7 linked regions of the Daphnia pulex genome follow. The protein of the gene in region 2 binds, or shares a complex with, the protein of the main gene of each other region. Links are inferred from orthologs where the notes say so. Each region holds a gene or a part of one and is shown on either strand. Other genes may lie near its edges. The genes, in order: G-patch domain and KOW motifs-containing protein-like, U5 small nuclear ribonucleoprotein 40 kDa protein-like, protein AAR2 homolog, pre-mRNA-splicing factor CWC22 homolog, pre-mRNA-splicing factor RBM22-like, U4/U6.U5 tri-snRNP-associated protein 2-like and smad nuclear interacting protein 1-like.

What was found.
Region 1: U5 small nuclear ribonucleoprotein 40 kDa protein-like (region 2) and G-patch domain and KOW motifs-containing protein-like share a complex: the UniProt entries of both Homo sapiens proteins name them as parts of the minor spliceosome. The link is inferred for Daphnia pulex from reciprocal best matches to the Homo sapiens genes SNRNP40 and GPKOW.
Region 3: U5 small nuclear ribonucleoprotein 40 kDa protein-like (region 2) and protein AAR2 homolog share a complex: the UniProt entries of both Homo sapiens proteins name them as parts of the U5 snRNP complex. The link is inferred for Daphnia pulex from reciprocal best matches to the Homo sapiens genes SNRNP40 and AAR2.
Region 4: U5 small nuclear ribonucleoprotein 40 kDa protein-like (region 2) and pre-mRNA-splicing factor CWC22 homolog share a complex: the UniProt entries of both Homo sapiens proteins name them as parts of the minor spliceosome. The link is inferred for Daphnia pulex from reciprocal best matches to the Homo sapiens genes SNRNP40 and CWC22.
Region 5: U5 small nuclear ribonucleoprotein 40 kDa protein-like (region 2) and pre-mRNA-splicing factor RBM22-like share a complex: the UniProt entries of both Homo sapiens proteins name them as parts of the postcatalytic spliceosome P complex. The link is inferred for Daphnia pulex from reciprocal best matches to the Homo sapiens genes SNRNP40 and RBM22.
Region 6: U5 small nuclear ribonucleoprotein 40 kDa protein-like (region 2) and U4/U6.U5 tri-snRNP-associated protein 2-like share a complex: the UniProt entries of both Homo sapiens proteins name them as parts of the U4/U6-U5 tri-snRNP complex. The link is inferred for Daphnia pulex from reciprocal best matches to the Homo sapiens genes SNRNP40 and USP39.
Region 7: U5 small nuclear ribonucleoprotein 40 kDa protein-like (region 2) and smad nuclear interacting protein 1-like share a complex: the UniProt entries of both Homo sapiens proteins name them as parts of the minor spliceosome. The link is inferred for Daphnia pulex from reciprocal best matches to the Homo sapiens genes SNRNP40 and SNIP1.

Annotation. Positions count from the first base shown.
Region 1 is NC_060019.1:137,106-141,392, forward strand, and holds G-patch domain and KOW motifs-containing protein-like, read right to left. Parts: upstream 2,933-4,287; 5' UTR 2,836-2,932; coding exon 2,681-2,835; intron 2,617-2,680; coding exon 2,331-2,616; intron 2,272-2,330; coding exon 2,165-2,271; intron 2,095-2,164; coding exon 1,911-2,094; intron 1,853-1,910; coding exon 1,720-1,852; intron 1,655-1,719; coding exon 1,547-1,654; intron 1,368-1,546; coding exon 1,198-1,367; intron 1,134-1,197; coding exon 978-1,133; intron 916-977; coding exon 784-915; 3' UTR 726-783; downstream 1-725. UniProt on the Homo sapiens protein: RNA-binding protein involved in pre-mRNA splicing. As a component of the minor spliceosome, involved in the splicing of U12-type introns in pre-mRNAs.
Region 2 is NC_060027.1:3,204,436-3,208,979, forward strand, and holds U5 small nuclear ribonucleoprotein 40 kDa protein-like, read right to left. Parts: upstream 2,833-4,544; 5' UTR 2,490-2,832; coding exon 2,412-2,489; intron 2,256-2,411; coding exon 2,126-2,255; intron 2,063-2,125; coding exon 1,889-2,062; intron 1,827-1,888; coding exon 1,618-1,826; intron 692-1,617; coding exon 488-691; intron 430-487; coding exon 264-429; intron 193-263; coding exon 140-192; 3' UTR 60-139; downstream 1-59. Other genes in the region: syndecan-like, read left to right, coding at 3,853-3,945. UniProt on the Homo sapiens protein: Required for pre-mRNA splicing as component of the activated spliceosome. Component of the U5 small nuclear ribonucleoprotein (snRNP) complex and the U4/U6-U5 tri-snRNP complex, building blocks of the spliceosome.
Region 3 is NC_060019.1:11,511,658-11,515,260, reverse strand, and holds protein AAR2 homolog, read left to right. Parts: upstream 1-1,308; 5' UTR 1,309-1,430; coding exon 1,431-1,597; intron 1,598-1,690; coding exon 1,691-1,806; intron 1,807-1,869; coding exon 1,870-1,986; intron 1,987-2,049; coding exon 2,050-2,344; intron 2,345-2,432; coding exon 2,433-2,607; intron 2,608-2,670; coding exon 2,671-2,904; 3' UTR 2,905-3,009; downstream 3,010-3,603. Other genes in the region: ubiquitin-conjugating enzyme E2 N, read right to left, coding at 171-326, 400-490, 619-648; CDGSH iron-sulfur domain-containing protein 1-like, read right to left, coding at 3,087-3,176, 3,236-3,349, 3,426-3,538. UniProt on the Homo sapiens protein: Component of the U5 snRNP complex that is required for spliceosome assembly and for pre-mRNA splicing.
Region 4 is NC_060018.1:7,249,146-7,253,528, forward strand, and holds the start of pre-mRNA-splicing factor CWC22 homolog, read left to right. Parts: upstream 1-1,568; 5' UTR 1,569-1,697; exon of another isoform or gene 1,698-1,762; coding exon 1,763-1,920; intron 1,921-1,987; coding exon 1,988-2,492; intron 2,493-2,559; coding exon 2,560-2,688; intron 2,689-2,756; coding exon 2,757-3,102; intron 3,103-3,310; coding exon 3,311-3,750; intron 3,751-3,812; coding exon 3,813-4,093; intron 4,094-4,172; coding exon 4,173-4,274; intron 4,275-4,359; coding exon 4,360-4,383. Other genes in the region: ubiquitin carboxyl-terminal hydrolase 24-like, read right to left, coding at 1-140, 205-343, 411-647. UniProt on the Homo sapiens protein: Required for pre-mRNA splicing as component of the spliceosome. As a component of the minor spliceosome, involved in the splicing of U12-type introns in pre-mRNAs. Promotes exon-junction complex (EJC) assembly.
Region 5 is NC_060024.1:7,163,247-7,167,598, forward strand, and holds pre-mRNA-splicing factor RBM22-like, read left to right. Parts: upstream 1-1,310; 5' UTR 1,311-1,354; intron 1,355-1,410; exon of another isoform or gene 1,411-1,430; intron 1,431-2,086; exon of another isoform or gene 2,087-2,104; 5' UTR 2,105-2,180; coding exon 2,181-2,234; intron 2,235-2,307; coding exon 2,308-2,361; intron 2,362-2,448; coding exon 2,449-2,712; intron 2,713-2,772; coding exon 2,773-3,288; intron 3,289-3,352; coding exon 3,353-3,709; 3' UTR 3,710-3,791; downstream 3,792-4,352. Other genes in the region: uncharacterized protein LOC124200920, read right to left, coding at 743-871, 931-1,026, 1,233-1,310; renalase-like, read right to left, coding at 3,850-4,011, 4,081-4,152, 4,225-4,322. UniProt on the Homo sapiens protein: Required for pre-mRNA splicing as component of the activated spliceosome. Involved in the first step of pre-mRNA splicing.
Region 6 is NC_060025.1:1,779,095-1,783,177, forward strand, and holds U4/U6.U5 tri-snRNP-associated protein 2-like, read left to right. Parts: upstream 1-1,383; 5' UTR 1,384-1,514; coding exon 1,515-1,590; intron 1,591-1,670; coding exon 1,671-1,817; intron 1,818-1,877; coding exon 1,878-2,167; intron 2,168-2,224; coding exon 2,225-2,450; intron 2,451-2,518; coding exon 2,519-2,805; intron 2,806-2,873; coding exon 2,874-3,064; intron 3,065-3,124; coding exon 3,125-3,260; intron 3,261-3,324; coding exon 3,325-3,411; intron 3,412-3,472; coding exon 3,473-3,520; 3' UTR 3,521-3,577; downstream 3,578-4,083. Other genes in the region: uncharacterized protein LOC124202306, read right to left, coding at 1-81, 152-231, 306-436, 527-578.
Region 7 is NC_060018.1:419,612-422,869, forward strand, and holds smad nuclear interacting protein 1-like, read right to left. Parts: upstream 1,649-3,258; 5' UTR 1,593-1,648; coding exon 621-1,592; 3' UTR 537-620; downstream 1-536. Other genes in the region: biotin--protein ligase-like, read right to left, coding at 1-188, 257-402, 465-473; sulfotransferase 1B1-like, read left to right, coding at 2,253-2,496, 2,822-2,918, 3,001-3,151, 3,231-3,258. UniProt on the Homo sapiens protein: Required for pre-mRNA splicing as component of the spliceosome. As a component of the minor spliceosome, involved in the splicing of U12-type introns in pre-mRNAs. Down-regulates NF-kappa-B signaling by competing with RELA for CREBBP/EP300 binding.

The sequences.
Region 1 (4,287 bases), on a different chromosome or scaffold from region 2:
TTATTAAATGGGAATAACATGTATAGAGAATTGACACAGTGACCACGAGCACGACGACAAGCGAAAGGGGTATATGTAGCTTAGCGTTATATGTTTTTTTGTTGTTGTATGGCGTGATAAGTCTCGCAGTAACAAGGCAACGACCAATCAGCTGCGAGAGTAAGGAAACAACTGAAGAGCGGCCCTGTTACTGAGCTGTTACGTAGTCTGCACACAGCAGACCTTCATCGTTCGTTCGTTCGTTCGGACTTCGGCGGGAGTCATGAGAAATGACCGAGCGAAAAAAAGCCCCCCCACTGTCCCCCGTAGGGTGGTAGCCTATACGCTTTTCTCGTGAATTGATTGAGCTACGCTGTGTGGGTTCAGTGTACTCTGTACCGAAAAATATCGATGCAAAAATAAAGGGGAACACGCACGTGAAAGGTGTGTACCATTACCGTATTCCCCCTATAGCTCGTGTATTTTTACGATGCCGGTGTATACTTTAATAAATCCCATTGAAAACACACAAAGTTCTTGCCAGACTGACTGGCGCGCCTTGTACTTTCTCATCTCTTTTTCCACTTGAAAAATTTGCATTAGCGTAACGTATCATTAAAATGATAAGAGAGAGAGCTTTCGGCAAACATTTGCATAATGAGAGATTGCCACAGCTGTCTGGGTCACGTAGCAAATTATGTGAGAGGTGCAACAATGAAGACAAAAAGGGTGAAAATCGTTATGAAATTAAACACGAATAGCACATTTGTTTTTATTTAAAAACCAAGTCGAGTTATTTTGTGATTACAAGTTGCGCACATCTCCCGTGTATTCGCAAATGTCGTCGTAGTCTAGTTGGAAAACTTCATCGCGATCCGGTAGAATCTGGACGGTGGCCGTGTATCGTTCCTTGTCCCTTTCAATCACTTGGCAGACCTTTTTATTAAAAAATAAACAAGTTAACAAAAACAACATGTGTGTAAATTTCAGCTAACAACCTGTCCTTTTCGTTTGCCCTTGACGACCATGACGTAAGCGGGATCGCTACGCGGAATGACAGTTTCCAATTTAGAAATGTTGACGTTTTCCAAAAGTTTCCCGTTTTCGGCTTTGCAAATGCAATGATTCTTGGAAATCACGTCCACCACAACCATCTGGAATTCATACCAATCGGCGTGAGAGAAATTCATCTTTTATTTTTAGGACATTTTTATTTACTTTCTGTTTGTAGAATTGGCCGTCCTTGAATGAAGAATCGACGCAGCGGACTCGCAAGAGTGGGTGAAGCCAAGGTTCTCGTTTCTCGTCAGAACCTTTCGACGACCGATTTTTAGAACGAGATTCTTTCTTCTCATCACGGCGCTCCCGACTGCCACTCCGACGACTACCTTTTTTAAAATAAAAGGAAAAAATTATTATAGTGGAATTTCATTACAAACTGATTAATTAACAACGGGAAATTCTGACGGTACGGGCTGGGCGGCTGGCACGAGAACGCCAATGATAAATGTAGGAAAGCGTGACCTTGGGTAGGAGGAGCTAGACAGGACAATCTATCACTACTTACGATGGCTAGGACTATGCTTCCGTTTCTTTCTGCTCTCGCGATCATTTCTTTCCTTCTCGTTTCGCTCCTTGTCCTGTTTCGTTTTGTACTCGTCGTATTTTTCCTTGTCTGAGAATTAAAAGAAAGATGATTAATTTCAAGAAGAAATTTGGCTTGAAATAGATTTAATTTACTCAGAATCCTGGCGGAATCACGATATTCTTTAGCAGAAACTGGTTTCAGAAAGAGCTCGCTCATTTCCAATTCGTTGCTTCCGACAGCCATCCGCACCAGAGCACGACCAGTGTTTGCGTCCATGCTAAGAACCTGATGAAACAAATTTAGTTATAATTTAATGGCAGATTTTAATAGAATTTTTACTTACTTGTCCATATAAACCTTGATGTTTCCCGCTGAGCAACTGTACATTTGCACCGATAATCACTTTGAGCTCTTCTTCGCCTTCTTTTGGCTTTGTTAAAGCTTTAGCTGCATTTTCTAAAACAGTACGGTCAGCCCCAAGACCAAGTCCTTTAGGCCTAAGTTTCACCTCCATGGGAGCAGCCACTCTTGATTGAATAAAAGATAATTTGATGAGAATTCAGAACCATTAATTAATGTGAAATATGGCAATGATACCCTTTTCTAGAGAGACCGATACCCTCTGAGGCTTTCCAACCCATTCCTCTCAACATGGCCATTCCATAGGCTTCCACTGGGATCGCTTCATAATCATCAAGTGTGGACTAGAGAGAAATGTCAAGAGTTAATTACATAATTAAGGTGCAGTTGCGAAATTCAGTACCTGATCTGCACGGAGGGAAACATCTACTTTTTCATCTGTTTCAAAGCCAGATGGAACACGATTTTGCATAAATAGGGGGATATCAATGTTGGAGGGTACGCCATTGCCTCTGTTCTCCCAGCCATCAACAGCCTTCAGTGTTTCTTGCAGGATTTCTTTTTCGGCTTGCTTGTCCAAGTCTGATGCTTCTGTGTTCTCGGTTTTGGTATCACTGCCAGGGGTCCTCCACCGATTCTTTGTTATAAGAGGAATAACCAGTTCCTTTTTGGGTGCTTTTTTGATGGATCTAAATAGAATAATGCAGAAAATGAATGTAAAATTAATATTTTGTGGCGGGAAAAGCAACATACCCATTGATTTTGTTGTGCTCGACAGTTTTGACGAAATCAGTCTCTTCGCGAGTTTCTTGAGTCGTATCCAATAGTTTCGACTGAGTTAATTTCACGTTATCATGTTTCTTTTTTGAACTAAAGGCAAAAGACACACCAGGCTTGGTTTCCGACATAATGACACACGAATACGTTAATATCAAGGATTTCCTTTTCGCTCAGAAGATGTCTTTATGGAAACAACAAAAAAGGTGGGGAGACGCAAGCAGACGAACATTGAAAAATCAAATCAGACAACTGCCGTGCATTCTGCGGTGGTATTATAACTACGCGTAGCTTCTGCATAATTTTCGTGTAATTAAAATATCTAATTAATTCGCTAGGCGAAGGCGATGTTTCGTCGTTTTAATTAAATTGTCTGAAGGAAAAATTCAATTATGTTACTAGGCAACTGCAACTGATTTGATTTCATCCTGCCTGACGCTGATGCCGCCAGGCCACAGCCGCGGTTGCCTCTAGTGCCTACTTGACTTTGATTAAAATGTAACCGAGTACGTAATTAAAAGGAAATGGAGCACGAAGATGAGAAGATGATATCATGGGCTCATTTTGTAACTGCCTGTAGCGTCACGCAATGGAGATGCTCGCATCATATTGACAAAGTTGTAAGGCTTCATCAAAGAATTGAGGTCACTATATATTGATACTGATGCACGTAGACCATTGAAGTGACATAATCATGTGACACAATCAAGTATATTTATTTAATAAAATCGAACGACCGGGGCCTTGATTTTTTTGTAGGCTGGTTCCGAAATTGACCAATCGTAACCTTCGGTGTAATCTACCAGACACTCGCTAGATGTCTGCATCGGACGAGTCAAGCAGACGACAAAATAAAACTCTAGAACAAAAATATTTACGCATTTACGAGCATCGACGATATTTGTTCATTCCAAAACAACTACGTACTGCCATAGAGTGTTGGGTTTGATTTCGTCATTCACTCCTTCCTCTATGGTACTACTAACACAGTGCTGTGACATAATTCCAACCGTATGTTATTACAAAACACATTTATCCTGACCTGAAATTTATTTGTACCAAGTGTCTTGCTCCCATTTCTAGGAAAAATAGGGTTAAGGTTACTCGACAATTTGTTGCTTAACTTGGAATAGATTGGCTGTTTTCCCAAATAGTAGTTTATTTTTAAAAAAAGATTGATTTCATTTCGTTCAAGGTCTCCATGTAGCCACTGGCCCTATAAAAGGACAACCATTCGAGGTTGTATTAGTAGTAGAATAACCCCAAGAGACGATCTTTCTAGTCTGTAATTTTCCATTACGACGACGACATTTCAAATCTTTTACCAAATTCAGAAGGCCGGCAATTTAAATGTTTTAAAAGTTACCTCCAAGCGTTAAAAAAAGTCCCCGTATACAACAGGTAGTAAAAAAAGAAGAAGGGCGTCGATTTACCCTTTCTTTTCTCAATTAAAAGGGTCATTGACGTTTGTTAACCCCCCTTCGATTTAAAACGGTGAAAAAAAGAGGTCTTTTACGGTCAAGGTCATCGACTGTCGTCCGCCAAACCGAGGAACTGCGTTCGACTTGTTTGCCTTTTTCGCC
Region 2 (4,544 bases):
ATCCAATTAAGTTTTTTTTGGCCTTTAAATGTCGATTAATTTAAATGCAATTTTGTAAATATGCGTAAAAGAATTATTTGTTTATTCGTCCTCGATCCTTGCCATCGTTTCAACTGAAAAAAATTATAACCTTTCCTAATTAAGCGTCAATTTCGCCTAGGTAAATCAGCTTGTCACTGGCACCGGATGCAACTATGTTTCATTCAAAATAAAAAATCTGAAATTAATTGATGTCCTTGATGTTGATTTGCTGCGTAAATTACCAATAGGTTCCTTAGGATGAAATACAACGTCATTGACACTTCCGTTGTGACCAGGTAATTTGTAAATGATGCGGCGAGATGTAGTGTCCCAAATGTAAACGAATCGGTCGGCAGATCCCGCTGAAACTTTGGTTCCGTCAGGTGACCATGAGCAGCGAAGTAAATTCTATAACATTACACAAGGTATTAGAATGGATTGAGAAATTCGCCGGCATTGTATATACCTTTTCAAAGTTGTGAGCATGGCCAACCATCATTTTGATACAACGTTCTTGAGGAGCGAAAGGTCGTACATCCCAGACACGTAAAGAGTTGTCCATCGAGTTTGACAACACGTAAGATCCATCAGGACTGAGAGTCAAGCCGGTCACAGTGTCGGAATGGCCCTTCAAGGAGTAGAGGAGAGCATTTTTTCTCAAGTCCCAGACCTAAAAAGGAAAGTGTATGATTTACCTATCTCTCCATATTCACGTGAATAGCTCAAGGCCAGGACCAGTTGAAATATCGCAAATGCAAAACTACTTTTCAGGTTTTAAAATGAATATCTTCCAAAAAAAGGAGAAAACTTAACATGGGTTTAGTTCGAACGAAAAGATAATCGATAAAAAGTGAAAATTATCTATTTTTCAGAGTAAATTCTTCCTAAAGATGTCGCAAAATTGTCATAAGTATTACGGGGAAAAGTTTTGATCGATAATGTGCAACCATCTGACAAGCAAAGAAGTATCAGAATCCGCTTCCAGCGTTTCACATTTGCCTCAAACTGACAAAACACAAAAATGCGCATCTTCAGTAATTAGGATGGAATTAGGACATTTGACGAGACCCTACTGCTGAAATTACTTGAATTAATTTTAAAAACTTCGCCTACGAGCTTACATTAGTGAACCCATTCATATATCAAAGAGAAGGGGCCCTGGAAGTAAGGAAGGACTTGGTGACCTTATCAAGGTGAGACACGCGATAATCAGAATACCAAAGTTGAAATCCCTTGCACTCTTCAAGGAAAATGAACTCGATGATAGGGTAAGACAGAACTTGCACGAATATGGTTCAATATTAAGTAGAAAACAATCAACAATGTCGAAACTTTAGTTTTTACAACAAAGACAGAATATGACTGCAGGTCCTTCCTTTTTTGCCAAACTATTCTCTTGAAGCCATCAAGTAAAAATACTGAGAACTTTAATCAATTCTGTAAGAAAAATACTCAAGTTTGTGACTTTCTCCCACTCACACGGAATATGAAGTTCGCCGAATCGGTGGCTTAATTCAAATTCTTGGAAATTGGTCCCATAGTTTTTCTTCTCTCTCTCTCTCTCTCTATTACAACAATTGAATTTTGCGAACTCACCTTAACATCGTTGTCGATGCCTGCGGAAATGACTTGTTCGGCGGTATCGTTGAAGGTGACGGAAGTCGCTTGGTAAGAATTATCTAATGATACTGTCTCGGTTCTTTTTCTTGGATCCCAGACTTTGATGTTGCAGTCATCTGAGGCGCTGCAGAGAAGAGGAGGTCCTCTTCGTGCAGGATGAATAGCATTGACAAAGGAGGAGTGGCCTGTTGAAACAAATTGTTGTTGGGTTCAATTGCTAAATAATGGGACAGTGACAATGGTATACCTTTCAGTTTCTTGATTTTAGCTCCTGTTCTGGTGTCCCACAAACAAATGGTTTTGTCTGTACTAGCAGTGTAAATGGTATCACCATCGGTAGACAGCTGAAGATCCATTACTGCTCCGGTGTGACCAGACAACACAGCAAAGTTTTCACACTCTCCATAAACATTCCACAAAACTGTTGAACAAGAGGTTGATTATCCAAACAGTAGAGATGCTCAAATGTATATATGATGCTTACATATTTGTCTGTCGAACCCGGTGGAAACCAAAAACTGGCCGTCAGGATGGAACTTCAGGCTAAAGATATCTCCAGGATGTCCTGCCAGGAGCATTATAGGAGCCATGAGGCTAGACGTTCTTGCTGGTCCCTGTTTATTGAAAAAGTCAATATCACATTTGAATTCATCATAGCATCTACAACAACAAAACACACAAGCTGGTCAGCATGTGGTTGGATGCAATTCTCTTTTGTGATGCATTCGGCTCATTTAAAAGTTTATAAATAAAACACAAATAAATCAAACCTGTTGCAGGGCCACTTGACCCGAGGTGGCCGACACCAATTCATTATTGCTGGGATTGTTTACTGACACAAGCGCCATTGCTCCGGCTTCTAGACTTTTAAGAAAATTTTCAAGTTGTAGAAAAAAAAAGTGAAAAAGTTTTGACAACTACTACTGACGGAGCAGAAGCCTTTTCTTGCTAGATCTATATTTTATAGTGGTCGCCTTTTCCAAATCTTGTTGGAAACTTGGAAAGACTTTGGTATAATAAAAGAATAAAAATTGAGATGGGGAAAAGCTGTCACAGTGGTATATCGCTCAAGAATTTCCGAACCCTTTTTCTCTTTCTTTTTTTGGGAAAAAGAAGTTGTAACTCGAGGAATTTCATGAACACCCGCGCAGTCTTGGAAAACAATGGGTATTATTGGGGCCGGAAAACAGGCGAACCCACGATCGTAAAAAAAGAAAAGGAGTGTTAGAAGAAGGAGGGAGAAACAACAAACATTAAATCTCTCCCCTCGATATTTTCTTAAGTTTTGTGTGTCCGTGTGACTATAGAACAGAGGACCTTCTAGTTTTTTAACACTCGCAAGAAAACGACTTCACCAGTATATGTGATAGTCGCTATGTCTGGGATTTCTTTTCCATTCCAACGAAATTTGGTGCGTCGGAAAGAACAAAACTAGTCTCTCGAGATGAAGATATTTTGAGCGCTGAATCCATGACCTAAATTGAGTCATTCATTTTTTCCCAACATGATGAGGAAATGATGAGATTGATTTTTGTTTTTCCTTTTCTTTCCCGTGTGTGTGGTTTACATTCGTCCGTATAATTTCCACGTCTATGTTGTTGGAGGAGAAAGTGGGGAGGAGCTGAAAACTGCCGCCAGATGGCAGAGTTTTTGGTACCCAATGGCGGCGGAGGGACACAAAGAAAAATCCAGTCCCTTCAGTTTAATGGCGGCTCTCGGCTGGTGTGTTTGATGATCTGGGCGTGAGTTGGGATCTTTTAATCCATTTCGGCCTTTGGTTACATCGAGAAGTGTCTCGAAATCACGCCAATTCCCGGCAACTCTTTTTGTTCTGTTGATATTTAACATTCCGTCCCCGAATCGACGAGTAAAACTCGGCCATCGTTTTGGCTTCACCAGTGAACTGTGTGGTTGAGTGCGCGCCTGTGAGAGAGAAGAAGTGTGAAAGAAAGAAAGAAAATGCCCAGCCTGACCTGAGAGCATCACCGTCTGTGTTTAGAAAATTAGAAAAACGGACAAAAGGCTGCAACTATCCTAATTTATTCGACCACGTTCTCCACTTTTGTATTGAAATAACACAAAAATCTTGGAAGAAAACTTTAGAAACGGATATCCGGCTCTTAAAATAAATAATACTGAAAAAATCTCTCTCTCCACCCTCTCACACACACGTAAGGCAGACTCTCAAACGCTCAGGAAATTCTCTCAAAAATGAATCCCAGAATACATATGGCGATTTTCATCGCCTTTTTGGCTGCACATTCGGTTAGCAGTAACATCAACAGTGCATCATCGGTTGCCAAGGTAAGAATGCCACCACTTTTTATTGATCTTTTCACACATCTGGACTATCATAAAACTCCCACACCCTTGATTCCAGGCTCACAATTTTGTCACGACACATTTTGTTGGGTTTTGTTTTATTTTGTCGTTCTTTTTAAACTAACGTTTTGTGGAGAGAGAGAGAGATTACTTAATGATGTGGAAGTTTTGTTTTCTTGTAGTTTTAAAAAATTTCAGCTAAGTTGTTTGTGTTTGTCTCTCGAGTTCTGTTGATGACATTAGCATCAGCACCATCGAGAGGGTCTCCCATGAGCCCCTTAAGGAAATATGGCGTCTGATGTTCAAATCAAGACATTCCTCTGCGCTCGATTTTCCCGAACGGTTTTATTTTTTCCAAAAGAAAAAGAACCTTTTAACAATTTTGGCAGATATATGAGAAATTGCAGCTCTTTTATGTAACTGTTTTTCATTCTCAAATAGGAGAGAAACGAGAAAATTTGCATGTGCCGACCTTGGTCGTACCTCTAAGGTTAACCTGAAGTTTGAACATGAATGAATGTCCTTTGCTAGTAGTAATCTAGGCCATTGGAGGTCTCAAGGCTTTTTCCTTGCGAAAAACT
Region 3 (3,603 bases), on a different chromosome or scaffold from region 2:
TTTCTGAAGTTAAAACTGATTTTTTCCCCAGTTACTTAAAAATTCAAAGCACAAATGTCATAACAATACAGGTATACCCTGATAACCAAAACACAAGATTATACATGCATAGAACACATAACACTTGACAATCTTGATAGAGCAAACACTAAAGTAATAAAAATAATCACCTTTCAGAATATCAAGACAAATTCGGCCAAGTTTATCAATATTAGGGTGATAAATCTTTGTCATGAATCGCACTTTAGGTGCAGACATTGGGTACTCTTCAGGCAAAAATAGTTCCAATTTGAAAACACCACCTTCAAATGGAGAACCTTCTGGACCTATGAATTTTAATCAATATGAACTAGTCAGTACCAGAATGACACTTTAAGGTTGCAATTTAAGTTTACAGACCTGCAACCACAACATGGAAATAACGAGCATTTTGTTCATCTGGAACTGCACTAATGCCTGGGACAGGCTCAGCCATCAAACGTTGAGTTTCCTATTGATCAAATTAATGACGAATATACTATATTGCTAGAGAATACTACCGGTCCCATAATAGGATCGGGAGAAAAAAACACGTTGCCTCCCACTTTGATGCAAGTCTACAATTAAGATTTGTGTTACCTTGATTATCCTTCTAGGTAAGCCTGCCATTTCGCATCAATTTGTTGAACAAACAACGAGTATAAAATAAGATTTTCGTATAATAGATGGTAACTTTAAAGCCAAATAGAGAAGACGGAAAGTTTTCACGCTATACGAGTGCCCTATTGCTAATTTAAGACGTTGTCAAATTGTTTGGTGACGAAAATCGGTAGGAGATCGACCCGGCCACACGGGAAGAATTAGACATATAAACATATTATTTTTCAAATTAAGACGATTTATTTAAAATGAACAAAGTTTATTTGAATTGGTTTACAAACGGAAATACACGAGAAAGCTAAACAAAAGGTATTGCTTTTCAAATGCCGGAAATGAGTTTAAACCTTTATTTCAGAACCGTAGAAAATGACCAGTAAAAATTTTTTGGTTAGATTAATTGGCTGTTCTGTTTGCGGAATATTTTAATTATTTTCATGAATCATCTAGAAAGAATTTCGACTTGAAAGTTGAAATAAATTGAAAAAGGGCAAATTAACTAATAAGGCATGATTAAGATTGAATGGCAGGCTTCAACACATAAAATTTTTTATTTTATCACTTTCTTCTCCTATCCTTCTTCATGTTAATTTTATTCCCTTTTTTTATGCAAAATTGCTAGAATTTAACTCGGCAAGTCGGCATCCGGTACTGATCTGACGTCTGACCTCCATGTTGTTTGTTTTTAAACTGTCGTCTGCTAGTATTGTTCGTTCATTGCTTTTGCGTGGTTTCATTCACTCAGCTTCATTCTGTTTTAAAATATAAACCATCAAGTGTCAAACACGGAAAGAATGGATCAAAAATTGGCTAACAAATTATTTGAAGAGGGCGCGTTTTTATTTCTTCTTGGCGTACCAATTGGGACTGAAGTAGGAATAGATTTCAACAGTTGGAGAACCGGCGAAAAATTCAAAGGCATAAAAATGATACCCCCTGGAATTCACTATATTTATTACAGGCAAATAAGTTATTTTTTGTTAGAACAGTTGTGTGAGTGTAACATTCACTGTGAGGTACAAAATGTGATTGTATATTTTTATATAATTTCTAGCTCTGTAAGCAAGGAAGGTTCCGTAGCGCCAAGAACAGGTTTCTTTTACAACTTCAATAAGAAGGAAGTTGTGGTCCGTAAGTGGAACCCAGAAATAGAAGATGTCATCAACGATTGTAATTTTATTTTATAAATCATTATTTAATATTAATTTATTATTTAGTGTTTATCCATAATAGGTACTGATGAAGAAAGAGAAAGTTTAAAAGCCAATTTAAAAAATCTTGATCAGCACTTGGGTCCATATCCATTTGATACCTGGAAGAAATGGATGTCTCTCAGCAGTAAATTGACAAGTATATTTTCTTATACATTATGTAATCTGTACAAAAATAAAATGTCTAACAATTAATATTTAGCTGATGTAGTTGGGAAAGTGGAACCCCTTCAGCAAAAGATTTCATCAGTTACAGAATTAATTTCATCAGAAGATGTACCAGCACCAGCAGAATCTCCAGTGAAAGAAAAAAGAATAAAGAGGTCAAATTATGAAGATGAATTACTACCGCACATGCAACCAAAGCCAGGCACAGCGTTAAATTTTACCAAAGTCCCTGTTGATTTCTATCCAGTAGGATCAAGTGCCATGGAAATCACTAAACATAGCATTGACACATCTTATTTACTGGAACAAATGCTGTCAACTTGGGAAAGGTCGGCATTTTTTTAATATTTATTTTTCGGAACGTAAAAAATACCAAATAGTTTGCTGTATTTAATAATAAATTATTTTCTTGTTTAGACCCAATCAAATGCTTGCTGAACTTCAAATGGCGTTTTTGTGTTTTTTGATAGGACAAGTTTACAGTGCTTTTGAACACTGGAAGAACGTGATTCGTATTTTTTGTTTTGCTGATGAGATTCTGTTGAAAAATCCATCATTAATTGTGGAGTTCATTGGGGATATCTATTTTCAGGTGATGACATTAGAAAACACAATTTTCAACTAAAATTATTAATTAAAATATATTGTTTTTTAGATGCAAGAAGTATCTCCAGATTTTTTTGTTGACATAATCTCATCAGAAAACTTCCTCATTCAAACTTTAAGAGTTTTGTTTGGAAATATTTTGGAAAATGATGCTGTTGACAGACAGCTTAAAAGAAGAGCCTCACAGTTGAAGCAATTTGTAACACAGAGGTTTCAATGGGATTTTGATGTTGAACCAAATGATGAAGCACCAGTACTAGTTGAGTTGGATGAAAGTATGTAATAATATTAAGAGAAAATTGATACTTCAACCACTTCAACCATGATATACTGTACACAAATTTCCTCAATTCCTCAATACATGTGTAATGTGTTTACAAGCTGAAAACCAGTAGTAATAATAACTAAATATATGAAAAACTACTAAAGAGATGGGCAGTAACTACCACATGGTAGATTGCTTGTTCAGTTGCTTTTCTTTCCAACAATTAGTGGGCCAACATTATCACCAGTCTCTGTATTATGCTTGTTGTGTGAACCATCACAGTAGGGAAACTAGGAAAGGATAAAAGTTATATAAGATAAATTAATTTGATCCATAATAAGTTCCTTACCGAAGCACTACGCCAGCATCGGCAGAATACTTTCTTGTCCCCTATGTCTTCTAAGTCAAAAGTGTCAACTACTTTTGAATCACCCTTTTTAATACTCTGATTAACCACACTGCCCTGTATAAAGAATTGTATAAGAAATTAAACTTCAGATTATTATCTTCTAAAGTCAAAATATATTGAGAATCCATACCTTTTTATCACACTTCTTTTTACAAAATCCAGTGCCTGTTACTTTGGCATAGATGAAAAGTGATATACCAACAGCAGCAACCCCAAGAGATGCTGAGCATACCAAATCTCGAACTGAAATTTAAATACAAAAGATAAGATAAATAAAAATCTCATTTTATGTACAAATTTTTATGTAA
Region 4 (4,383 bases), on a different chromosome or scaffold from region 2:
TAGCTCCAGCATATTATAGATTCCTTTTTGAATTTCAGAGTTCCACCTCTGCACTGCTCCAGAATTTAACAACTTTCTGAATGCCTCTGGCATGCATTTATTCAAAAACCTCTGCATGTTTTCATCATTCTCCCAAACACCTTAATTGGATTAAAAATTAATGTGTGTAATAGAAAAACACAAAATTCACAAGATATAACCCACCTTCTTCTATTAGTTTTGTCGCAGCTGCTAAGCATTTATGCAAACTTTCATCCTTTTTATAAGGAATAGACCATTGATCTGTAAATACTCTAGACTCTAATTCATACAGGTGGGTTTCAGGGAAGCCATCATTTCCACTCTAAGAGATAAAAATGTAAGTGTTGAAAAATGCTTTACATTGACATAATAGATGAAATAGGCTTTACTTCAGACACGGAAGCATCTTCGCTGGATCCTTTGGAAACACCAGCTACCTCTTTCATGTCAACATCGATGTTTAAGTCAGCAACAGGTCCATAAGATGACACTGACTGATCATTGGTGAGGATAGCAACTGCTTCATTTAGATCATTCTTGGCTAAACGTAAAGCTCGTTTGATTTCTCCGATGTCCGGAAATCCCATGGCCATTAACGTGCTGATATTTTCGTCTTCGACGTCCATGACGTCTTCTCTCCGGCGTTTTAAAATTTTTATTGTTTATCTGAAGAGGAAACAAATACAAAATTAGAACATATCACGATGCACGATGAGTGTATCCCAAGCACTCTGCGCATTTTTTTTTTTGTTTTTTTGTTATCTTACTACGATCACAAGAGGCACGAACTCCTTCGCGGAGCTTTTTGAAATTCTTCTATACACATAGGATAAACTGCATGGAGGAGTGGCAAACAAATGTTAGCGGTAGGCAGGCCCCTTGTCAAATGCGCCCTCCCTATTAAACCGTGGGCGCTGACATCTTTGACATGTTGCCAGCTCATTCATTCCTCTAAACAGTGGTTTCAGACGGATTCGACTTTTAGAAAAAATGCTTAATGATTTTTTACCACATAATTTCAATTGAAAGTATGAAATCTCTTTAACAAATCTTCGTGGCTGCCTGTTTTTATTGTTTCATAGCGGTTAGTAATACCTATTTTAAAACTAGGAACTCGCAGGACTAGCGAAAACATGCGAAAATATTTCAAAAATTGAAATAATTATTCTTTTAACGATCCTTTATAACTCTGATTTCACCAGTAACTATTTTAAAAATTCTACACGAAATACGAAGACCTGAGAAGGCTCAGCGCTTAACGCTGCCACAAAGCTGATAAACAATTTAAACAAGTTATCGAAAAAGTCCAAAAAGTATTTGATGGTTGCTCGCTGCTCGGGGCAGAATATTTATTCAATTATTCCTTTTCCAATAAATTTTAAACAAATTTTCATTAATGAGGAAGTGGTTGATTACAAGAAGATTCTTAATTCTTATTTTTTGTCACGTTTGTCTCTTTGCCTGCCTTTGCGATAAACCCGATAAGGCATAAGGCGACAAGCCGACAACCAATGAAATCGAACAAGCTGCCCAAACGCAGGTGGCGCATTAGTGGTAGAATTGTAAGCAAACGGCAATACCGCAATATGGCAATAGGCATTAAGCCAAGGAAGCAAACGTAAAAAAGCAGTTGTTTCTCAGCGTGTTGCGATTGCAATTTTCTATTCATCCAAACAGTATAACATCTGTTAAGTGATATTTTCAAATTAATTTCCCTTCATCTGTCACAATAATCCTTCAGATGGAAAGTGTCGTCAAAGCTGTTGGTTTACCCGTAAATTTCTTAGAAGAAGTCGACGATGATTTGGAAGATGAACGAGACGAAAAAGCTCCAGCAAAGCCCGATAGCAATATTCGGAAACGACGGTATAGTTCAGAGGAGGAATACAGAAGAGAAAGGTAGACAACTGTACCAAAAGTGTTACAAGTAACAAATTAATTTACTTCATATTCATTTTTTTATCAGGAAAAAAAACTATGAAATAGGCACACGCTATTGGGGAGATGAAGGCCCTAGAGATAACTACACACAACATTCAAGAGAACAAGATCAACATTCAAGAAAAAGAGAAAATCAATTGAAAAAGGATGACAGAAAAACTAGTGAACAAGGTCCTTTAAATGAAGAGGATACTAAAGAGCCTAAGAGAGTTAAAGAAATGGATCCAGTGCTGACACGAACCGGAGGAGCTTACATTCCTCCTGCCAAGTTAAGAATGATGCAAGCCCAAATAACTGACAAGTCAAGCTTAGCTTTTCAGCGTTTATCTTGGGAGGCTCTCAAAAAATCCATTCATGGATTAATCAATAAAGTCAATGTGTCAAATATCCCATTGATTATAACATCCTTGTTCAAAGAAAATATTGTTAGGGGACGTGGTCTTCTAACTAGGTCCATCATTCAGGCACAAGCTGCATCACCAACATTTACACATGTCTATGCAGCCCTTGCTGCATTAATCAATTCCAAAGTATAAACGTGATTTATATTAATTCATGTATTTAATTTAATTCACATCACATTTGTTGATGTTTCAGTTTCCTAACATAGGTGAACTGCTATTATCTCGCCTTATTCTTCAATTTCGCCGTGGGTTTCGTCGAAATGACAAACAAATATGTATGAGTTCGACAAGATTCATAGCACATCTGGTGAACCAACAAGTGGTAATATTGAAATTTTGCTCTCATGTTTTGTTTTTCAAATGCACTGAAAATTTTTCTTGGTATTTTAGGCACATGAGCTTTTGGCTCTAGAAATTTTAACTCTTCTGTTAGAAAATGCAACTGATGATTCAGTTGAAGTCGCGGTTGGATTTTTGAAAGAATGTGGTCAAAAGTTAGGTGAAGTCTCCCCTCGAGGATTAACTGCTGTCTTCGATCGCCTCCGTCATGTTTTACACGAAGCTGACTTAGACAAACGCGTGAAGTACATGATTGAAGTAATGTTTCAAGTACGAAAGGATGGCTTTAAGGACAACCCTGCTATCGTGGAAGATTTGGATTTGGTGGAAGAAGAAGATCAATTCACTCATTTGATGTCGATACAAGAAGAAGAATTGGATCCCCAGGATATGTTGAGTAATAAGTTGCTATTAATGGATTTAAAAAATATCTGTATTCCTCAATCTACCAAGTTAGTTTACTGGGCTTAAATTTTTATTTATTTTTAAAATAATCTTTGACTGTAATGAGCCCCAAGTTCCGTGCTTTTCTTAAACTGTTAATAGTAGATTTTATATGTCTATCTCCACTTTGATACCACTAACTGTTTCGCGTATTTTTGTAGATGTTTTCAAGCACGACCCGGATTATGAAGCCAACGAAGAAAAGTACCAAGCTGTCAAAACAGAAATTATTGGAGATAATTCGGGCGAATCAGACGGTTCTGGAGAAGAAAATGATGAATCTGATGGAGATAGTGCTTCGGAGGAGGAAGCAAAAGGTAAGAATAGCATATACTTTTACTTGGGTCGATTCAATTTGTATGTTTTTAATTTTGTTTTTTTAGAACAAGGCGATATTGTTGACGAGACGGAGACAAACCTTATTGCTCTTCGACGCGTTATTTACCTTACTATTCAGAGCAGTTTAGATCACAATGAATGTGCCCATAAAATGATGAAAATGCAAATGAAACCTGGACAAGAAACTGAGTTATGCCATATGATCTTGGATTGCTGCACCCAACAAAGGACGTATGAAAAATTTTTCGGCCTTTTAGCCCAGGTACGATTTCTTATTAAATAAAAAACTATTCAAGTATATCAATTTTCTTTTCGGTGTATTAGAGATTTTGCCAGATTAATAAGGCATACATACCACCATTCGAGCAAATATTTCATGATACATACGACACAATTCATCGGCTGGATACTAACAAGCTTCGCAATGTAGCCAAAATGTTTGCCCATTTACTTTTCACAGATGCCATCAGTTGGCAAGTGATGGCTAACATTCGACTAACTGAAGAAGATACTACAAGCTCTTCGAGAATATTTCTTAAAATTTTATTTCAAGAAATGGCAGAGTACATGGGTCTCAGCAAGCTAAATCTTCGCCTCAAAGACCCGTCAGTGCACCAACTATTTTTTAAACATCTTGTTTGGTTATACGTCACCAATTTAATTTTTTTAATATTTTCGTTTTAGGACTTTGCAACCGTATTTTGAAGGAGTTTTCCCTCGCGATGATCCTCGCAACACTCGATTTGCCATTAATTTCTTTACTTCCATCGGTCTAGGAGGGTTGACGTAAGTTTTTCTATCTCGTTGATAGATTCTTTAAGATTAATTAATAATTTTGTGTTGCGTTGGATGGGACGTTTCAATTATGTAGAGACGAACTTCGGGAACATCTTCG
Region 5 (4,352 bases), on a different chromosome or scaffold from region 2:
GCTGAAGCAAATGATCTTGAGATAAACGGCCGATGCAATAACGACGCGGTATTGAGAATAGGGGATGGCGCAAAAAAATAAAAAAAATAATAAAACATACTATAAATAAGAGAAAAAAAAAATATCTCCCAATCATACTATAGCTGGGAAAAATTTACTTTTCGAGTTATTCACGTTGAAAGTTTCGACTACGTGGCCCACCTCTAAAACGCAGGAGGTGGCCTATTTATCACGTGATTCTTGGTGCATTACCGCTGGTCAGTTTTAACCAATGAGAATAGATCACGTGATCGGGGGAACCAATAGAAGCGGGGAACATCTGTCATTTCGTCTGTGTCCGCAAGGTGTCGCGTCAAGCTTGTAGCAATCTAGTTTTTTTACCGCCATGTGGTAAAAGAATGAAAAGTTGTTTTCAGGGATACGCATTCTATTGGCTGTTGCCGGTCACGTGATCTGCTCCCATTGTAAAAACTGACCAGAGCTAAGCTAAAACTGGCAGAGCCAGGGAGTCGAAACTTTAAACGTGAATAACTCGTAAAGTAAATTTTTCCCAGCTATAGTTTGATTGGGAGATATTTTTTATTTATTTTTTCTCTTATTTTTAATATGTTTTATTATTTTTTTAATTTTTTGCGCCATCCCCTATTCAGACAGCATGGAGCCGGAGGAAACCGTTTACTTTCTAAAATTCTAAAAAATGAAGTAAGTTAACAGTTCATTATAAATTAAAATGTTCTCTTACCTTGCATGTAGCTATATGAGTTGGGGGCTGGCAATAACATATGTTCTTTTCTCTTGAAAGACCATAACCTTTCGGCATCCGATAATGGCTTATGCGGTGGCTACTCAAGCTGAAGATTGACGTAAAGGTCTGAAATTACAAAAAAAATTATAATTGAAATATGTAAGAGTGGATGATTAAATAGTTACCTTCCCACAATAATCACATGCGAGAATGGGTGAGTTGGGACAAACTTCAACGCTGGAACTAGGAATTTGACCCAATACTCCCTCAGCCTGATTGTCCTGAAATTTAAAACATGAACATGAATTAGAAAATCATACCCCAGGTAAAAGCATTGTGGATTGCAGATTGCAGGACTTCTTTCCCCTCGATCAACAATGCTATTCACCTAGGGAAGATTGCTGTTGGCAGCTGAGGGTTGGTGGGTGGCTCGACTTCCATGATTTAGAAGGAACTGTGTATATAAATCAAAGTTTACCAAACTTACCTCTAGCGTAGTCTTCTTCAGTTTTTTTACACACATAGACAGGTTCTTTAGTCGCCTGTTAAGCTTCAGGCTGGCCATGGTAGTTCCAATTTTCTTCAACTTCTGGATTTCTTTTGCTAAAGGTAAGTTTGAATGAGGTTAAGAATGAGTTATTACTTTAAAAAATAATGTTACTTACCATCTTTGTTTAGTTTATCCACCCTTTTCTCTATCTCGCCTAAATCCTGGGTAAAATTTGATTCCAGTATTTGGATTGGTATTGGTATTGGTAGGATTAGGTGCGTCTGCTATGTTTAGCAGACATCTGGTCTTCAACTAGATGACCTTCTTGCACCGACGAGATATTTTTTCTATTGATTTTTTTGAGCGATGGCGTGAGCAGTGTAAGTGTTGTATTGTATTGTGTGGAAGGAGCCCCAAGAAGGGGGATGGAAGTACCATCATTGTGTACGATTTGGCGCTAGTGCCTGCCTTTTTAGGAAGAGATCTGTATTGTATGTGTAGTGGTAGTGCCCGGGTATGGGAGCAACTATGCTCACCGGGAGAGTCGAACTCAGGTCTCAAGGTGCTCCCCGATCACCAAGCGACGCCTTATCCAGCTCACCTACCCGCCCCCCCCCCCCCCCAGTATTTGGATATCCATGTCAATTCAGAGTTCAGACGTCAAAAACAAACACTTAAGGAAAAAGGATTGTTTATCGATATTTAACTTTAAATCGATATCCATTGTTTATTTATAATATTTAATTACTTTATGTTATGGAAATTTTTTACAATTCTATTTAAATTATTACACACATTTATTAATTTAAATAAAAATTGTCATAAATTTCCATAAAATGAAGTAAGTAAACAATATATATCGATCCAAGTTAGTATCGATACCGAGACAGACCGATTTTAAAGTTATCGTGTGGTCCTTTGGGGCATCAGATTTTACGTTTCAAAATGGCGCTGTCGAAATCATCAAACACTTATGGACGTACAAGTTGGGAAGATTCGGTAATATTATACTATTTTGATAGTTTAAAATTGAGACTGATACTAACCAGTGAATTAATTTAATATAATTTAGGAGTTTCCAATTCTCTGCCCAACATGTCTAGGAGACAACCCTTACGTTCGAATGGTGAATGAAACTTAACTTAAAAATGCATACGTTAACTATGTTTTTCGTAATTCTTATTCGTAATTCGGTTCCCCTAATTTTTTTTAGATGAAGGAAAAATTTGGCAGTGAATGTAAGATTTGTGTCAGACCTTTCACAACCTTCAGATGGTGCCCTGGTGCCCGTATGCGCTTCAAGAAAACAGAAATTTGTCAGACTTGTGCAAAACTTAAAAATGTCTGCCAGACTTGCTTATTAGATCTTGAATATGGACTTCCCATTCAAGTCAGAGACCAAGCACTTAACATTAAAGACAATATTGCAAAATCTGATGTGAACAAAGAATATTTTATTCAAAATGCTGAGAAACAAGTAAGTTGAATGCTGCTTTGAAATGAATTTTTTACATTCATGCATTTTTATTGTTGACAGCTTTCTGCAACAGATCATGGTGTACCTGGAGCTGCTGGTGGTCCAGGAAAATCTCATCCTCCATCAGATCTTCTGATGAAATTGGCACGCACAGCACCATATTATCGTAGGAACTTGCCACACATTTGTTCTTTCTGGGTGAAAGGTGAATGCAAAAGAGGAGAAGAATGTCCTTACCGTCATGAAAAACCCACTGATCCAGATGATCCATTGGCTGATCAGAACATTAAAGATCGTTATTATGGCACCAATGATCCAGTGGCAGAAAAGCTCATGCGTCGGGCTGCCACTCTTCCTCGTTTGGATGCTCCTGAAGATAAGTCCATTACCACTTTGTATGTGGGTAACATTGGAGAGAAGATGTTGGAAAAAGAACTACGAGATCATTTTTATCAGTACGGTGAAATTCGATCCATCACTATCGTTTCACGACAGCAATGTGCTTTTGTAACATACGTCACCCGCTCAGCTGCAGAATTGGCTGCCGAAGGAACCTTTAACAAACTAATTATTCAGGTACGGACCTTTTACTTTCTGGTTTCAATTCCCCAAAACTTATTCAAATTATTTGAAAATTTAGAATCGGCGGCTTGTTATTCGTTGGGGTAAATCTCAAGGCAAACAGAATGTTCCTGGAACAACAAATACTGAAGCTGGAGCTCGTTTTGAACCTGTTCCGGGTCTTCCCCGAGCTTTGCCACATCCTGAAGAATTGGAGCATAACTTTTTCAATTTAGCTCCTACAAGCAATGCATACCCATCTCCTTATCCTCAATATCCACCATCCACATATCCATTGATCGCTCCACCACCACCAAACCCCACACCAAATCAGGCGGAACTTCCAGTATTTCTTGCCGAAAGTCAGCAGGGCATCCATTACCCTTCTCAGGATCCGACTCGTCTTGGCGCGATTAATAAGACACGACAAACATAACGACAGAAATTTTCAGAATTACGATATGCTTGTCTGTAATTTTTGTATTTCCGTTTTTGAAATTTAAACTCTCACGATAAAATGTCCTGTAATTTATTTTATTTAATATCTATAAGTTTTTTTGCATATAAGGTTTTGCGCTATAAATTGGCTGTTTTTGATGTGAAGTGCTGAATGATTTTTTCAGCCGACGATACACAACCATCGAAGTTCGAATGAGTAAATCCATCCCCACCAACTAGCAGAAGAGGTTCCTGGGAGATCTCAAGTACACCCGGCTGATCTTCATACGGTTTCGTTACCTTAAAAGCAAATAAAATAAAAAGGTAAAATTTGCAAGCACACAGAAATGAAAAAGGGTTAGTGAGAACCTGGGAGTATCTCCATTTATGGCATTTAAATGCCTTTGGTGAAGGTAGATCGGGGAAAGATCGTTTTAAAGCCTTAATCAAAATGTAAAATTCAAAATATAATCTCGGACATTTTAAAACAAAATGTTATAATGCATAATTTACCTCTTTTAGAATAGGTTCCGCTTCTGGGACGGTTAGATCAATATGTTGTACACCGAAGGGGACAGATGTGTGAAGAATCACAGATGTTGGGACGTCAGCTGGATTAACAATATGAGTTGGTAACGTTC
Region 6 (4,083 bases), on a different chromosome or scaffold from region 2:
ACACGGTGAATTGTTTCCAAACCAGTAGCCAAGCCATCGTGCAAAAAGACACCGCCATTTACGCCGGGGTAAGCATCCCATCTATTTAGGAAATTTCAGAAAATTCATATTTACTAAAAATAAAGTTGATTGTCAATTTTTCCCGTCATACGTAAAGCTAAAATCGCCATCTGGAAGCTGAATACGGTCGTATCCTAGCAGGACTATCTGCTCGCGAACTAAAGCCAAAACCTAAAATATAAAATGTTTTTAAAAAGACAAAATTCAGTAAATCAAAGAACGAAATTGAATTATATTACAAATACCTCGTCCATGTATTCATTGGCATTTCCTGCTTCCCCACTTCGAGCACGATTCATCAAATGTTCAGAGGCCGGAAAGGAAAGACGAAGAAGCGGCTCGCCTTTTCCAGAAACGGGGCGTCGAATTCCAGCACCTACCAAAAGTAATGACAAAATTAAAAATTATGGTCGTTAGAAATTTAGAATCAACCCAATCAAGGAACGAGTAACAAATATGAGCAAACCATTGGAAAGGGTAAAAAGGCAGAGCAAAGCGAAAATGCCAACCACTTTCATGACGAACGAACACAATTTCAGTTTAAAGTTAAAGAAAGAAACCGTGTCCTTTTGAGAAACAGAAAATGCAAACTGCACACGACCAATTTATACAAAAATTATTGGTCTATCAATGATTGGGCAATCGATCACTTCTTGATTAGAAAGTGATATAAATGGGTTTTTCAAAGATTATGATTGTGACATCGAACTTGATTTGACTAATCTGATAATCCGTATTGCGTGCTAAAATCAAAGGGCAAACAAAATTACCCAATGATTATATTTTTGTACACCTTCGAAGGACGAACTTATACAAAAAAAAACATTCTATTGAAAATGAATTACGAAATTCTAATTCACCAATTGCTTAGTTGATTTTTAGAAACCCGGAAATTGCTTGTTTCCGGGTTTATGGTTCAAGTAAGCAATTTGTATCCAGGCAGAAAAAATCTACACTATGCTGAACATCATTATCTGAACCATGAATATCGCTTTCAAAATATAGACTTCTGTTGACATAAGTTAATCAAGGTAAACAGAGTTCTGATAATACATCCAAACAAATTCGAGACAAACTCTAAACTTTGAGATGATTACACAACACCCAAGACCCAACAGCGTTACCAGACACAAAATAAGGGTTTTTTAGTTAGTTATCAGGATAGTAATTCAAACGATAAAAAATAGTAGCCCCATCTTGTACAAATAATTATTTACTTGACGCATGACCATGATAATCAAACGAAATTTTGAATCGCGTTACAAGATTTGAATGAAGTAGTTCACGCCATCTACAGGACAATAATTCTACTTTTTCGTTTACCGGCATTAACGCGTTGCATTCGTTTTATGTGTCTGCTATCCTTTCCGTAACTCTGCATTCGAGTTTCCTTAATTCTTAAACAATAAGAAAAGCTGTCAATTTTGGCTCTTGGGGTAAATATCTTTTCAAAAATGGGGACGGAAAAGAGTGATATAAAGCGCAAACATGAAGATTTCGATGATGAAGACGAACCCGTCGTGAAAACAAGTATTGTTGTCACTATCCACAAAACCAAATAATAAATATAGTGCAATCCGTGTAACAACTTTTACTGATAAAAATTCTAGGAGAACCAATTGCCAAATCTCGTTTGTGTCCTTATTTGGACACAATAAACAGGACAGTTTTGGATTTTGATTTTGAAAAACTCTGTTCAGTCTCGCTCACAAGGATTAATGTCTATGCATGTTTGGTGTGTGGGAAATACTTTCAAGGTAAATTTGAAGTTAAACAGCAATATTCACATATTTTAAATTGTTTCAAATGAATTCTAGGAAGAGGCCCCAGCACACATGCATATCTTCACAGTGTGGGAGAGGGACATCATGTTTTTTTGAACCTTCACACCCTAAGATTCTATTGTCTGCCAGACAACTATGAAATCATTGATTCATCACTCGATGATATCAAATATGTCTTGAATCCAACATTCAAAAAAGCAAATATTGCAGTGTTGGATGTCATTGATAAAGTATCTAGGTCTTGTGATGGTACTCTTTACCGTCCTGGAGTAGTTGGACTCAATAACATCAAAGCTAATGATTACTGCAATGTAGTCCTACAGGTAATGAAGTAGTAAACTATAAATTAAAATAATAAACTTTACTTACTTTTGTATTAGGCTTTATCTCATGTTGTTCCACTACGCGATTACTTTCTCAGGGAAGAGAACTACATTGGTATCAAGCGTCCTCCTGGAGACAATAACGTCATCTTAGTTCAGCGTTTTGGTGAATTGATTCGTAAGCTTTGGAATCCACGCAACTTTAAGGCTCACGTTTCCCCCCACGAGATGCTCCAGGCTGTCGTTCTGTGCAGTAAAAAGAAATTCCAAATTACAAGCCAGGGTAATATTAAATTATGAGAATTGTTATTAAAATTTTACCTTGCTAATTCTTCATTTTCCATATTTCAGGTGATCCAGTGGAATTTCTTTCGTGGTTTTTAAACGCGTTGCATCTGGCATTAAACGGTACCAAGAAGCCAACTTCTTCAATCATCTACAAATCTTTTTTGGGAGCAATGAAAATTCATTCTCAGCGAATCCCACCCATCGATGCCACTGATACAGAAAAGGATGCACTGATGTTGACTGCCGAATACGTCGAAACATTTGTCGATTCGCCTTTCCTTTTTCTGGCAGCCGACTTGCCTCCCCCTCCTCTGTTCAAAGATGAATTTCGCGAAAACATCATTCCACAGGTTTGCCAAAATCAATTAGCTTGTAGCATTAATTAAAAGCTAGATCGAGTCTTTTGTTGATTTTTCAGGTATCTCTGTTTGCATTGCTGTCTCAATTCAATGGAGTCCAGCAAAAGGAATACAAGACCTACAAGGAAAATTTTTTGAAGAGATTCGAATTGACAAAACTGCCACGTTACATTATTCTCAACATCAAGAGATTCACGAAGAACACGTTTTTCATAGAAAAGAATCCCACCATCATAAACTTCCCCATCAGGTAAATAAAATTACCACACCATTTTTTGTTGACTGTTACAAAATTGAGATGTGCTTTTAGGGGTGTGGATTTTGGCGATATTCTAGGTGCAGATGTTCGCGCCAAACACGGATGTACCACATACGATCTGTTAGCCAATATTGTACATGATGGAGAACCAACCAAGGGAACTTATCGTGTTCACATACTTCATAAGGTAAATTCGTTTTATTGTTGACCAATAATCACAATAAACTTCACGAGTCAATTGCTTCTATTAGGCGACAGGAAAATGGTTTGAAATGCAAGATCTGCACGTGACAGAAATTCTTCCGCAGATGATCACTCTCACAGAAGCTTACATTCAGGTAGAAAAAAAAATACAATAAAACGTTATTATGTCCCATTTAAAATGTTCAAACATTTTAGATATGGGAACAATCTACGGAAAGAAGCGACGTTGAAATGTCCAACTGAAATTTCTGTCAAAAGTGTAAAACCCGAGTTGAAATAAATATTCAAATTCGTACTAAAGCATTAATGTGAGACTTCTTATTGGATTGAATAAAATTAACACACCACGTCGCGAGGAAAACGAACCATGTTTGATTACACAAGATGCAATAATACACAACTTATTTCGTTTTTTTTTGTTTCATTTATCTTGCTCCAAACGATGTTGTGTGGCAAAACAGGGAAAAAGGAGTGATTTGTTTAATTAAGAGAGAAGAAGTGGGTTTGAGAATGCAGAGCAAAATAAAGAAATCTTGAAACAAACACGTAAGAGACAACCCCCAAAGAGGACAGAAGGGATGAAAAAATAAAGGGTCGTAGTGAAAAATTAGATTCACACCGCGCAATCAAATTGTCCTTCATGAATTCCGCTCGTTTGCTACTCTTTTTCCCTTACATACACTCGCACAAAGTTTCTTCAAAAATCAGACCAGCATTCGATCGAATTCAAATAGCTTATTTTTTTGCGGTGAGCAGCGGTGGGGTGATTTTTATTTTATGCTACAAAAAATTGGAAAACGGCCAAA
Region 7 (3,258 bases), on a different chromosome or scaffold from region 2:
TTCCATTCAGCCATTTTGGAGAAAAAGGGTGTAGGGAAAGACATTGACCACCCTTCTTGATGTACTCTTCCAGCGGATCGTGCAAGTCATTATCAGACCATCGAGAAGCAAGTACTAGGAGGCTTGTGTTGCTTAGCCAAGCTTTTTTAGAACGAAATGAGAGTTCATCGAGATGGTAAAGGGCATAACTGTCAATCAATGTTACATTGTTTAAGATCAAGAATCCAGATATCAAATGTCTATACTGTTTATATACCAATCCGGCTCTAGTGTGGATTCAAAGAGGGCTCGATATTGCTGAAAAACTTCTTTGTCACTCGTACATATTAGAATGTTGGGCGGTCTTGCTGAGGAGGCCAGCAGTCGTTCCACAGGTCTCATGACACCAGCAATTTTGGTTACCTGTTACCAACTGGTTGTAAAAATTGCTTTAGTTATAAATTTGAATTAACGTGACAACTTACGAATAACATGAACAGCCCCACTGATGTGTGAAACCTGGAAATGAAATGAAAGAACACTTAAAGACGATTGAATACCTTTCGCAGAAACATTAAGTGTATTGCGGCGTTCAAAAAAGAAAATTGTTATGATACAAAACATTGCTGGTCACCAACGTGTCACTGCCCCACTCCCATATCGTCCAAACTAGCATCTGTTTTGCTTTCTTCATGAAGGAGAACATATTCGCGGGAACTGAAGCCAAACTTCACCACATCCTTCTCGAACAATTCGACGTAACGTTTGGATTCAATTTTTTGATTATTTACAAAAGTACCATTGGCTGCTTCCAGATCAATAATATATGGCCGGACAGTACGTCCTGCAGTTCCATCAGGCCGTTCGTAGTTTACCAACCGAAATTGGATCGCAGCGTGCTGTTTCGAGCAAGAGGGATGGTCGATTGGAATATCAGCAACTTTACGATCTCTTCCGATTAAGTAGGCGCTTTGACGGTGAAGGTACAACGTAGGCAATGCCTCTTCCCCTTTAAAGACGTAAAAACGCCACCGTCGCTTGGGAATTCTGGCTTCAGGTGGTTCACTGTATTTGACCACCACACCATTGAAAACATTCTTCTCTTCAGTCAATTTTCCTGATAGACCAAAGTTGGGTTTTTGCTTTTCAACGAGTGTTCCTTCTTCTTCTTCATCTTTAACTTGTTGGCCATACTGGTAGTTGGCTGCTTCAGCATCTTCACTTCGGGGGCTTTTGCGTCTCTGCTTAAAAGGTCTTGGTGGTCGATCTTCTGAATGTGGTTGCTCATGCCGTCTTGAAGGCCCTTCATTGTGTTGTGGACGTCTGAAACTTTGTTCATCATCACTAACTGGTTCTTTCTTGATTTTAACTGGAATTGGTGGGTCATTTCTTCGATTACTTTCTTTGTGTGAAACTTGTGAATCATGTCTCCTGCTGTCTGATTTCCGACTTCTTTCATAGTCATCACTTCTTGAATGGTAATGGTCGCTTCGTGAAGATTTTCGTGGTGGGGAAGAGTCACGTTCTTCACGACGTCTGTGAGTCTTGCCTCTTTCATGGCCTCGTTCGTGGGACCTTTTGGGACTCCTCTCGTCTTCGTTGTGCTTTACCATGGCGATCCAAACGAAATAAAACAAGATATGCACAAGTACTCTCTAATTACCTTAATGTTTCTGGCGTATTTCTCAAAAAAACGAGATCAATTCAATGTTTCAGTTTCAGTTTGATACAACTCGTTTCTCGGCTTGTCAACATGAAATGGTGTCGCAACTCGTAACCGTTGCCAGATTTACTTTCATCCACCACCTGTAAACGGCTAGCCGCTAGCGGTCCGCCGTCCGCGGACCTGCTCTCTGCTGCCTCACTGCCTGCTCTTTAATGTATTTATATTCTCATTTTTTTATGTAATGTTTTAGAAATTGAGTAATGCTTATGTATGCCAAATTGAGAATTTTTGTAATCGATTACAGCATAACATTTTCGAAATCAAAATTATGTTGTTAGAGAAGTATATTTTTCTTTTGCTCGTTGGGTCGTTGTAAAATATTTAAATAAATATTATCAAATATCTGATATTGTAATACATATTTACGTGGATTTAATAATTTTGCATTTGATTTAACGACGAAAACCAAATCGTTAAAATTTGATGTGGCACTCGCTGAGTCGCTGTTGAGTATAAAAAAGGAGGCCACGGTGTCATTCAGTCGTCGCGGTCTTTGTTCGATCCTTTTTGCCGTTGCGTTTTCATTTGTTGTCTGAGCTCTCGCACGATGACAAACCCCGAAAATCCTTCAGTTCCTCCCGAAGTTGTTCCAGAGTGGAACATAAAATTCAATCCTGTAGAAGTGAATGGAGACTTGAAAGAACACTTCACAAACTACGAGCAGCATGGACTGATGAAGAGCGAACCTGGTGGTTTTCTCTTAACGGATGAGTATGCACGCCATGCCAAAGAAATTTCACGTTTTCAACCAAGAAGCGACGACGTTTGGGTAGTAACCTTTCCAAAATGCGGTAAAATCCTTTTTCAATCATTTTTAAGATTTTTTTTATGTAATAGCTACATTTTTATAAAATAATAATTCGTAAAAATAAATATCCTAGTGGTATTTGTTTAGCAATTACTGCTATTACGTCACAATTTATTTCTTTGTCATCAATTTTTTTGGCCGTAGCCTTGAAAGTCTAGTAGCCAAATGGCAACCTTGTATTTCTCCCCGCCTATTTTAAAACACATAGTTTGAAACAAACAAATACAAATCTCTCGGATCTTGAAAGTGTTAACTTTTCGTATTCTCCCGCACATATAAAATTGATAACTTTGAATTTGTTTACTTAGGAACGACGTGGACACAGGAATTAGTGTGGATGATTCTCAACAATTGTGATCCAATTGGATCTAAGGCACCACTAATAGTTCGGTCACCCTTTCTAGAGTATGTCAGTTGTTGGGATGTCATTGAGAGCTTTAACAAGACATTTCCGTTTTCGGTTTATGAACTATATGGACTCTTTAAGGTTCCCATACATGATTGGTAGCTGTCTTCCACCAGAGCACAGCAAAATGCTGATTACACTTGATAAGGTTGAGCAAATGCCTTCACCAAGAGTTATTAAAAGCCATCTGCCATTTTATCTTCTTAATCCGAAGTTATTGGATACTTGCAAGGAAATCTAGTTCCCTTAATCATATTTGTAAACCGTAGGCGATTGGTTGTTACTAATATTTTATCTGCTGTGTTTTGCAGGTGGTTTATGTAGCCCGTAATCCAAAAG